3 linked regions of the Macaca fascicularis genome follow. The protein of the gene in region 2 purifies or fractionates together with the protein of the main gene of each other region. This does not show direct contact. Links are inferred from orthologs where the notes say so. Each region holds a gene or a part of one and is shown on either strand. Other genes may lie near its edges. The genes, in order: MORF4L2, KDM5A and ZMYND8.

The links.
Region 1: the proteins of KDM5A (region 2) and MORF4L2 purify together in Homo sapiens (affinity purification with mass spectrometry; 4 studies listed by BioGRID and IntAct, with this or other methods). This does not show direct contact. The link is inferred for Macaca fascicularis from reciprocal best matches to the Homo sapiens genes KDM5A and MORF4L2.
Region 3: the proteins of KDM5A (region 2) and ZMYND8 purify together in Homo sapiens (affinity purification with mass spectrometry; 3 studies listed by BioGRID and IntAct, with this or other methods). This does not show direct contact. The link is inferred for Macaca fascicularis from reciprocal best matches to the Homo sapiens genes KDM5A and ZMYND8.

Annotation. Positions count from the first base shown.
Region 1 is NC_088395.1:110,058,309-110,062,057, forward strand, and holds the start of MORF4L2 (mortality factor 4-like protein 2), read right to left. Parts: upstream 2,681-3,749; 5' UTR 2,622-2,680; intron 2,149-2,621; exon of another isoform or gene 2,134-2,148; intron 1,358-2,133; exon of another isoform or gene 1,289-1,357; intron 1-1,288. UniProt on the Homo sapiens protein: Component of the NuA4 histone acetyltransferase complex which is involved in transcriptional activation of select genes principally by acetylation of nucleosomal histone H4 and H2A.
Region 2 is NC_088385.1:1,144,795-1,148,543, forward strand, and holds the start of KDM5A (lysine-specific demethylase 5A), read right to left. Parts: upstream 2,420-3,749; 5' UTR 2,232-2,419; coding exon 2,067-2,231; intron 1-2,066. UniProt on the Homo sapiens protein: Histone demethylase that specifically demethylates 'Lys-4' of histone H3, thereby playing a central role in histone code. Does not demethylate histone H3 'Lys-9', H3 'Lys-27', H3 'Lys-36', H3 'Lys-79' or H4 'Lys-20'.
Region 3 is NC_088384.1:103,301,012-103,304,660, forward strand, and holds part of ZMYND8 (MYND-type zinc finger-containing chromatin reader ZMYND8), read right to left. Parts: intron 3,249-3,649; coding exon 3,096-3,248; intron 349-3,095; coding exon 1-348. UniProt on the Homo sapiens protein: Chromatin reader that recognizes dual histone modifications such as histone H3.1 dimethylated at 'Lys-36' and histone H4 acetylated at 'Lys-16' (H3.1K36me2-H4K16ac) and histone H3 methylated at 'Lys-4' and histone H4 acetylated at 'Lys-14' (H3K4me1-H3K14ac).

The sequences.
Region 1 (3,749 bases), on a different chromosome or scaffold from region 2:
CAATTTCATCACACACAAAGGACACCAAAGCTGATAAATAATGTACAAGTATTTCTTTTTCCTTTCTTGTGGCTACATTTTCAAATTTAACTTATTGTATATTTATATAACTTCTGACAATTTTTTTAACTTTTCCTTAAAGATAATTTCAAATGGATGAAATAAAAGAATAGTATTACAAACCTACACGAATCCATCATCCAGCTTTCAACAATTACCAACTGAAGGCCATCTTGTTTCATCTATAACCCCACCCACTGCTCCCCCCCACCCCCGACTTTTTCAAGCTCACGGGAATATCTGACTTCTGTATTTTATTATACAAAAATTTAAACGTATACCAAGGAAAGCAGATTAATATACGGAACCCACTGCCTATCACTCAGCAAAAACTATTATTAATTTAGGGTCAATTTTGTTTCATCTATACCCCTCCCCATTTCCCCCTACCGCTTAGATTATTTTGAAGCAAATCCTAGTCATTAATGTATTTAGAAGCCAATCCCAGACATTATATTATTTAATCCGTAAATATTTTCGTATATGTCTCTACAAAAAAGGACAATTTGAAAACATAATCACAATACTACTGTGACGCCTAAAAAAATTGACATCAATTCCTTAAAAAACATCAAATATCGAATCCATGTTCCAATTTTCCCGATGCGTCTTAAACATATTTTTACAGTTGGTGTGTTCGATTCAGGATCCAAACAAGGCCTACTCATCGCATGTGGTTCATCTCCAGCTCGCTCTCGTTCTCCATCTCTTTCTTTCTCGCACTCCACCCCCCCACCTTTTATTTAACTTTTCAACATGGGAAAATTACAATCTCTGCAATTTTGAGGCAATTCCCAAAGAGCAAATTATTTCATTGGTAAAAATTGATATATCTCTTTTATCTTTAATTTATTCTAGGAAAGAAGTTGATGGCAGAAAGGGCACTACAATTAGCGAATTTATATAATTTATAATTTTTCTCATTCTATTACGTGTATTATTTATCTCCATAACAATAGCTAATATCTTCAGGGGCCAGGCTTCATATTACGTGCCTTATACGCACCATTATACAGTACACGTCTCTGAGGTAGATACTATTATTATCACCATTTTACAAACATGGAAACCGAGACACAGAAAGAACAGGAGCCTTGCCCAAGCTGGGCGTTGGCGAGCAGGAATCTGAATCCAGCTCTGACCGATTGTGAAGGAACTAGCTAATCCCGTCTATACCCGACGAAAAGAGGAAATCATCGACCCTTTCTCCCCACCCCCACCCCGAAACCTGAAACGAGAATCCAGATCTTCCCAGCAGACGACGTGTGATCACTGCCGTTCCTCCAACCGCCATAGTAAAGCCAGGTTTCTCTGGCAACTGATATCCATAGGCAGACACGTCACCCTGGAGGAGGGCGTATGCCCTTCAGCCAATCACAATCGTCTTGTCTAAGTTTTAGAATGTTCCATAACCAAATGATTGGACAACCACCCCCACGTCAGCAATGACACTTCGCCGCAGTAAAGGCGGGTGCTAGCAACCTGCTTCTTCACTGTTAAGGCCTACAGCAAACCAATCCTCTTCCTCCGTCAGTGCGCGTTCCGGCCAATGACGTTCGCCCTCTTAGGTTTTTAGCCCGCCCTCCAAAAGCGTGACAGCCGTTGGGTCATAAGTCTATAGGGCAGAATGTTCACGTGGCCTATTTCACGACCCAGAGTTCCTCTGACCAGAAGGTTTTTTTTTTTTTCCTTTTCCTTTTTTTTTTTTTTTTAATTTTTTTCCTGCAGGGAGGCATTATGGGTTTGTGTTTCCCCCCAGCCCCCCACTGGGAGAGGAAGTGTCTACGTGGCCTGCGGAAATAGGCGGAAATGAGCTAAGGTTCCCGCGAGTGGGGAAGCGCGAGGTCAAATCTGGAGCCACGCCCCCAGGCCTGTGGCGCAACTCCCCGAACATGGAAAAAAAAGGCGCAGTGGGGGGTTCTGCTGTGTTTGCGAGTTAGGGTCGTGAGTGCAACGGGCGCAAGGCATTAAGGCCAGTGTGTTAGTGCGCGGGCAGGCTCGAGTGCCCCTGGGGTTGCTGTGTGAGCGGCCCTCGTGGCGCTGGAGGTGATGTGTTTGCGCAGGCGTGCGCCCCTGGCGTCTGGACTGGTGAGAGCCACGGCGCGCGCCCGCGTGCGTGATTGGGGTGGGAGTTGCGGGGAGGGGTTAGCTACTGCGCGCAGGTTATCTATTTCTGTATTTTGTTTGAAAATGTTCTAATGAAAAGGAAAATAAATAATTAAGGCAAGGCGACAATAACAGAGATAAAGGGGCACTGTCAGAAATATTTTGGCTTTCCCTGATTTAAATACTCCTCTGTGCCAAAATCCGGTCGTAAACCACAGCCCTCCAATGATTCAGAGCCAAAGCCTTCCATCGTCACATTAGCAACTCCAAAGGGAGACTTCTTTCAAGTTGTCTAGTATCCTCCTCCCTCCCCTCTTCCACACCTCCCCCCTCCCTTCAAGGTTGCGTGCAGTTCTCTTGGCACAAATACAATTTTCCTATGAGAATATCTATCTATGACAGCCTTCCCCTCCGTTAGAGACTCCGGATTTTTATGGTGACTAGGGCGCTCTTACCTTTGCGTTCTGATCTCCAAGCAAGCACACTGACCTTCTTCAGGCAAATACGCACTGTTAATTTTCCAGAAAGTTCTGTGGGTAAGGTTTATACCTCTCGAGTTCGCCACTAGATGCCGCCAAATCCCAGCAAAGGATTGGCTGTGTGGTCCCTGGGATTCTGGGATTTTGTTTCCCTCCCCCCTCCCCTTTCTTGATTTGCTGAACGCTAATATCTAAGGCATCATTGATATCGTTCATTCCTAGGAAAAAATAAAATCAGCTTCTGTGAATAGCACTAGTAGGCAGGGAACTGTGACCCAAGATCCAAATAATTTTACTCATTTCTTTCCTTTTCTCCTTGGGTGGGGGGGCGGGGGGGAAGGCCCCTCTCCATCCCTCGCTTCTTTTGTCCTTGCCTTGTTTAATCAAAGAGTTAATGAATGACCCAAGCACTGATGCTGAAGATCCTAACCCTTTTTCCTCAACTTTTCAAATGCTCGCAACTCACCCAAACTGAAAATACAGATAGCTGTTACTTTAGTAAAGAGATAAGAACTCATCAGTAAAACTTGGACCCTGGTATTGAAAACTGATTTTCCAAGGCCGGGCGCGGTGGCTCAAGCCTGTAATCCCAGCACTTTGGGAGGCCGAGGCGGGCGGATCACAAGGTCAGGAGATCGAGACCACAGTGAAACCCCGTCTCTACTAAAAATACAAAAAAATTAGCCGGGCGCGGTGGCGGGCGCCTGTAGTCCTAGCTACTCAGGAGGCTGAGGCAGGAGAATGGCGTGAACCCGGGAGGCGGAGCTTGCAGTGAGCCGAGATCGCGCCACTGCACTCCAGCCTGGGCAACAGCGTGAGACTCCGTCTCAAAAAAAAAAAAAAAGAAAACTGATTTTCCTTTTCTCTTGAAATTTGTATCAGATATGTGTGTTTGCACCCTATTTTCTGTAGTGGTATTGGTAGATTTTATTGTGTCTTTGGAGTGAGAGAAAGAGACTTAATTGTTAACCTCATTCCACCACTTACTAGTCTCAGTACCCTGGGCAAATGATTTATGTTCTGTGATCCTCAGTTTTTTGTATGCTTTCTATATTTTAGATGCTGTGTTATATCCTTCATGTCGATTTTTTTTTAAATTTATCA
Region 2 (3,749 bases):
TAACAGTAAACCTATTTTAAAACGTGAGTAGTCAAAAAAAAAAAAAAAACCCAGGAGGTGGAGGCAGAAGTGAGCCAAGATCGTGCCACTGCACTCCAGCCTGGAAACTAAAGAAATTTGCCAATACTAAAATTAAATTCTGATTGTAAACAAGATTTATTTTCAATAATGTGACATAAAAAGAGAAAGCATTGGCCGGGCGCGGTGGCTCACGCCTGTAATCCCAGCACTTTGGGAGGCCGAGGCGGGCGGATCACAAGGTCAGGAGATCGAGACCACGGTGAAACCCCGTCTCTACTAAAAATACAAAAAATTAGCCGGGCGCGGTTGTGGGCGCCTGTAGTCCCAGCTACTCGGGAGGCTGAGGCAGGAGAATGGCGTGAACCCGGGAGGCGGAGCTTGCAGTGAGCCGAGATCGCGCCACTGCACTCCAGCCTGGGCGACAGAGCGAGACTCCGTCTCAAAAAAAAAAAAAAAAAAAAAAAGAGAAAGCATTATTTCAACATTTTTTAAGTTAAAAAAAACTTTTTTTTTAATCGAAGTAACCGTGAATAGAATTTCTAATTAATAAATTCAAGAGTAGATGAAAATACGACTTAGGAAAACCTTCAATGCTTAAGATTTGTTAATATTAGGTAATTATGATAGAAAAAAAGGGTTAAATGGAAGTTTTTGGAGGATGGCAATGCATATCATCACAGCAATTATTTGTTAATCCTCTGCTTGCAACGAATAGTCTATAACCTTAAACTCATTCTACATGGAGCATTATGTCTGTTTCAGAATCAGAAAAACCGATCTAGGTTCAAAATATACTTTGCCACTTGCCCAAGATAACCCATCTGGTGTTTTAACTTATCCAGATTAATCTTATCTGTAAAAGGTGGACTTCATTTACCTATCAGGGCTTCAAAGATTAAAGCAAACAATCTATAGGTGTTAAATTAGCTCCTCCTCGCTGTCATTTAAGTTTTTAATTCGCTGCGGTGCCTATCACTGTGGTAGTCAGTGGTGACGGCAGATGCTTTTTAAAATGCAACACTGGTTAACAGTGCTTAATATTTTATCATTACCAATACTAGACAAAACATAAAGCAAAATGCCTTTAAGAAGCAATGACTAAAGCAATGGTTCGAAAACCTCAACTTACATGAAGAATCATCTGAGACTAGTTGCTAGAAAAGCAGATTCCAGAACTTCCACAAGAAGCCTAGAGATCTGCATTTAAATAAGCATCCAGTTGACCCAGGTGCAAGTGGTCCCGCAACAGCATTTAAAAAGCACTGATCTAATGAGTAAAGAAAAACACCTTTTGACCTTGAGCATCTCACTCAATCTCTTGGGGCATTAATCCCCTCCACACAAGGGATAGTACCTACTTTCCTTACCTCAATGTTGAGATTATAATTAACCTTATAGGCAAACCTAGTTATCTGCAATAACTGTGATTCTAAAATCGTTGATCTTGAGTTCCCTATGTCAAGAGATTTCAACATTTCCTCCCGCCTCCATTATAGATGAATTCTTCCTAAACCTCTCAATTTTAGAATTATTGCTGCTCCTCTTTCCCCGGTAAGACTTTCTCACTGCAGCAATGATTAGTCTGGAGTTCTATGTCTATAATACCATCTGGTGGAACTAGAGCTCAGATTACCTTTTCAGAAACCCTAGCCCTGAGAGGAGGCCTGCAAATATTTGATCCAATCAGGTCTTGAATAGAGATAGCCGACTATCAAACCATAATGAGGATACGTGAGGGAAGAATGTACTTTAATTAAACCTCATATTGGCTAACGAAGGGCTTTAGGCCCACAGCGGAGAGAAAAGTATCAGTTCCCAAGTTCTAGGCGGAAGACCCCAGAGACACCACTTTCTCGCATTCAGACGTGTCTACATAAGACCACAAAAGAAACCGAAGCAGAAACATCCAGAAACAGGCTCCGGTTGTCTCAACATAAAGGAGAGTACATACGAAAGGAGAGAAGGATCGGAAAAGTAAGGCTAAACCCAGTGCACGGACTCCCCCCTTCTTCCTTCTCCCCCTCTCTCTCCACAGACTGAGGTACCTTGGGCGGCCGAATTTTGCAGATGCCGGTTTTCTCCGCCAAAGGCCGGATGCGGCCGATAAAGCTGAGCGGATCTGTGAACTCCTCCCAGCTCGGCTCAAAGACGGGGCACTCCGGGGGCGGCACGAACTCGGCCGCGTAGCCCCCCGGCCCCACGCCCGCCATTGCAGCGGCCGGGGGGGGGGTCCCCGTGGGGAACCGGTGGAGAAAAGCTGGCTGAAGCCCACTGAGCCCGTTCACGTCCCCTGACTGGGGCCGAAGCGCATCTTCGCGGAAAAGAACCGCTCAACACAGACACCCCAGAACCGCTTCCTCCTCCCGTTTGTTATTGTTTCTTGCAAGGCTTTTCCTCTGAGGGTCAGGACTTCTCCGGAAGTTACTGTGCTGTCAAATCCCTCCGCCCCCGCAGGAAACGGAATCCTTCCGCAGCGGCGCGACGCCCGGGTATCTGGCCCTTCCTCCTTCTTCTCTTGCCCGGCAGCCCGGTGTGGCTGTTTCTCTCCTTGCCTGCCAAAGTTCTGCCCAGTCCAACGACTCCACGCGGCTCGCCCTGGGTAGGGGGTCGGGGAGAGGCGCAATCTCTCCTTCACTAGAGGTGGGGACAGAGCCAGGCCGACGGGGCGAGGCGAGGCGCGACGTGTTCTTCCGGCGCGGAGGAATGTGTAATGCCCCAGAGGGCAGAGGTTGTGCTTCCGGTGAGGAGGGTCCCTTTCCCTTTTGTGTGTCGGTGTAGTCGAAATCACGCAGGGCTTAGCGTTAGCCCCCCAGCCTCGCCGCCCGTGCTTCGTGATTTGTTTTAACCTACCCTGCTGCGTTTCTAGCAAGTAGCCGTTCCAGCATTTCTCTTTTTTTTAGCCCTTTGAATGCAGGTATTTTACAGTAATCTCACTCTGCCACTTTATAGCCGCCTCTTCTCCAGGAAAACAAGTGCAGGTCTAACCCATCCCCTAAATCCTGCCAGCTGGCTTTAGCCACCATCCAGGAATTGCTTTTCCTTTTACACAGAACACAGCAGCTCTTCTGAATTACCAGCCAGTACTGTCTAGCTACCTACAGGACATCTCACTCTGATAACTCAAAGTACTTTAATTGGTCACTATTTCTTCAGTGTTCCTGGTTTCATTAATACCTTCATCTATTCAGTTGCCTGAGGCAAAAAAAAAAACAATCAAGAAATAGTCCTCATGCTTTCTGCTCTCACTTCCCATGTATAATCGTGTGTCTCTCCATCCTTGTTACCAGTATCCTAATTTAAATACTCTTACTGACAACAGCTCATTTCTTTTCTCCTCTGAAATTCCTCTCCATTCTCAAGTTGGATTGCTTTGTCTAAAATCCAGAATTCATCTTGTCACTTTTCATCTCCAAACTCAACAACTCCAAACATCTTTTTTAATTGCTGATTTGCTGCTTTACTCTCCAGCTTCATCTCTACTGCTTCTCCATATGATCTACAGAAGTCTTTGTTGTGACTTTAGTACACCATGATTTTTCTCACCTCTGAGCCATCACACATATTTCCTCTGTCCAGAACATTTTTGTACTCTGCTGACCCAAAATCATTTGTATCATTATATCCCCTTCCTAAATTTCTACTCATCCTTCATTTAAATAAATATGAAGGATTAGGCTGAGCAAATCTGTGAACTGTGAACTCCTCCTTCATATTTATTTAAATAATAT
Region 3 (3,649 bases), on a different chromosome or scaffold from region 2:
CCTTTGTGGGGTGAGGTGAAGGTTTTGCCTTTTCAGAAAAGTCCTTCTCAGGCTCAGGGCTGGCCTTGTCCTTGACTGCTCCAGGGTCTGTCTTCTCGCTGGCTGGTGATGTGCTTTTCAGCTCCTCTTTAATCTCCACTGGGTTTGTAGGCTTGGGCTTTTTTTTAACAGCAGATGGCTCTTTGTCCATCCGACAACCCTCTTTGTCCTCTGTGTCTTCTGGCTCGTTCTTGGACTTCTGCTCATCATCACTGATATACTCACTATCGCTACTATCTGACTTCTCAGAATCCTCCGAATCGCTGTGCTCTACGGCCGTATAAACATCTTCCGAGATTTCATTTATGCCTAAATTCAAAAAGAAAACCCAGCATGTGGCGTAGTCACAAAATAAAGAGCAGGACGAAAAATGCAAACACTTTCCACAGCAAATGCTGGAATAAGAAAAGCACATTTCAAATCATATCACATTGGCCTGAATGGGGCCAGTAATAAACCCAAGTGGCAACTGGCTGTGGCTGCACTTGCCTTTGGAGAGGGTTTTGGGTGTTAACATTCAAAGGAGACACAGGACCTACCAACAGAAATTTTAAATTTATATGGCGCTAAATATGTGGTGCCAAATTTTCGCAACGTTGATAACTAATTGGGATTACTGAGAATGAGAGGGCTGGAAGGGAACAGCAGGGATAAGCTGTTCAAACTGATCCAGTTTACAGATTAGAAAACAGAGGCCCAGGGATATCACCTGCCCTAGGACACAAGACAGAGGCCAGGCCAGTACCCTGCGTTCGTGGCTCCCCACCAACACTCTTCCCTTGGGTTTCCAAAGCGTTAAAGTTCTTGATCCTTTGTGTCTAGGCCAAAGAAAATAAGCCAAAGCCTTAAAGCAGAGGTTGCAAACAGCCCACAAGCCACATCTAGCTTGCAGACATGTTTCATGGGAGAGGCACTGGTTTGCTCCACAGGGTATCTTGTCTGCTTTTAATTTATAAATGTGTTGTCCAATTCACAAATGAGGAAATTTCACATAGAAATCAAAGCAGGGGCTTCTGATGAAAGAGCAGAAAATCTAGCTGCTCTGGGTCACCGGCCTGCCAGGCATTGGCTGGGACAGGAAAGCCAATCGCTCCACTAGGCAGGGGACACACTTGTCTCCAGGTGACCCGGGTGCCCGGCCCTCTCTCTTGTTCCCTGCACTCATGTGGAAAGTCAACTGCCACTCGGTGTGCACTGCTCTTCCACTGGTAAAGGAGTCAGGAGAAAAGTCACATACTTCTGTTTCTTTCAAAAGGGAGAAGCACAAACTAGCAGGTATTTCACAAACAAAATGGGCAAAAGCACATTTCTAACAATAGTTCCATTTAACCCATTTATGGCTCCTGCTCCCAACCATATGTTATGCCATCATACTGTAGGAGATAATACTATATCCTAAACTTTTGGAAAGAGGAAAGAAAACCCAATCAAGTCTGTGCAATCTCTTCATTCCAGAGCAATGGCCACTGTGAATGGTGCCACTGTCCGACCCAGACACACCAAAAAGAAACCTGCAAAAGTATCAGAGCCATGAACAGCCCAGGGCATGGGGGATCAGCAGGATCACTGGGGAATATATCTGCCTCCACCAGGGTTCAATCAAAAACACAAGTCCAGCCAGGCACAATGGTGTGCACCTGTGGTCCCAGATATTCAGGAGGCTGAAGCAGAAGAACTGCTTGAACCCAAGAGTTCAAGGCTAGCCAGGGCAACACGGGAAGAACACAAGCCAAAATACAAACACCCAGATCTGGTATAAGTCTGGGATCCTAGGCTTGCGCTACTGGTAGCTAATGATTGGAAACAAGAACGAAAAGTGTAACCACATATGTGATAGGAAAAGCTTGGGTACTGGAGTCCAAAGGACATGAATTCAAATCCTGCTCTTCTGTTTTTATTATTGGTTGACCCTGAACAAGTTATTTATCTCTCTGAGCCTCAGTTTCTGTATCTGCAAAATGGGACTGATAAAGTATCAACCTCCCAAGACGATCTATATGCAGTGCTTAGCATAGTGTCAAAGGAAACACTCAGTAAATAGAAATAATACAATTCTTATTAGCAATAAAAATAAATCAAGAGCTGGACCAGCTGCATGGAAGGACCCAAGAGGATAATTTAAATGGCATGCCAAATTTCACCCATGCCACCCAATGTCCTCACCAAACAGGCAACCCAATGGGAAGTGGTGTCCTCTGGACAGCCCCAGATGGTCCCTAACTCTAGCTGCTTTCTCACCTGAAGATGCTCAGAGAAACTTGCTCTCTAGGGGCCCAGCCATCCCTAACTTCTTTACAAATGCCCTCCTAGCTTTACTTACTTATTCAACAAACATTCCAGAGCATCTACCATGTGCACAGACCAAGTACCATAGAGAAGGCAAATCCTCATAAAACAGCCTCCCTGCCCTCAAGGAGCTTCCAGTCTAGATTGGGAGGGACACCTCCACACAAAGGGAACGTTGCTACTTCTGAGCAATAAAGTACCAAAGGAGGAGGGCAGATGGGGAGGGCAGTCAGGGAAGACTTCCTGGAGGAGGTGAGATCTGAGCTCAGCCTCACAGAAGGCAGGATTCAGGTAGGCAGTATGAAGGCAGGCAGCACAGGGAAGAGGAAGGAAGGCAACAGCTACAGAAGCAGGGTTTACCAGGTAGGGAGGAGACCAGTCTGGAGGGAAAGGGTTTCGTGTCGGACACCTGCAGAACACACTGACTACTCGTGTGGAGACACTGATGTGTACTGAGAAGGAGAGCAGAGGCAAACTCAGAAGATCCTCATTCTGCTCGTAAACCTTGATGCTTCAAACCTGTATCTTGAGTTTCCAGGCTGCTTTCACCAAAGAATAAACTGATGAGTTCAAAGAGCCCCGAATTAACTATCAAGTCTGAAGTCTTTTGCCATGAGTGGAAATATATTTTAGCTGAGCAAATCGTTCAAAGTTAAAGCAGCTGCTAAAAGCAGCCAGGATTCAACCTTGATTTCATCAGGGTAGTATCCCTACCAGTAATGGTAACAATGATACTGCTGGGAAAAAAAAAAAAAAAACCAAAGATATACCTAATTGTGCTTTGCAACTCTCTATGGTCTTGTCAAGATTCAGCTGGAACCTGCTACGAATCTGGCGCTTGGGAGAGATGAGAGGAACAGGGGTGGACTGTTGCTGGACCGACTCGCTCAGCTCCTTCAAATCCATTTCGGCTTTGCTTCGATCTGAAAGAGACCATCACACCCTCGTAAGACCAGGCACACACCATGCTCATCACAGAGCTTTGTCCTTGCAAAGTCAGAGCAAAACACACATTTTAGAACATGGGGAGGGGGGATACTTTTTTTGTCATTCGTCCCAACAATATCATCTGCTCAACCACATGGGGTGACATGAAGATAATGGCCCGCGTGAACATGTTTGGCAGGTTTAAACAGTCCACTGAACAATCGTCTGGGTGACTTTCAATATTTAAAATGGACAATCCCAGCCAGATGGCTCAGTGTGTGGAAGTCAACACCAGTAGGGACCCTCCAAAGACAAAGGTTACGGGCAGATATTCAATCTCAATTTCAGTGAACAAAGCAACACCGAGCCTGGTCAGGGTGCACTTATAACTTCAGGT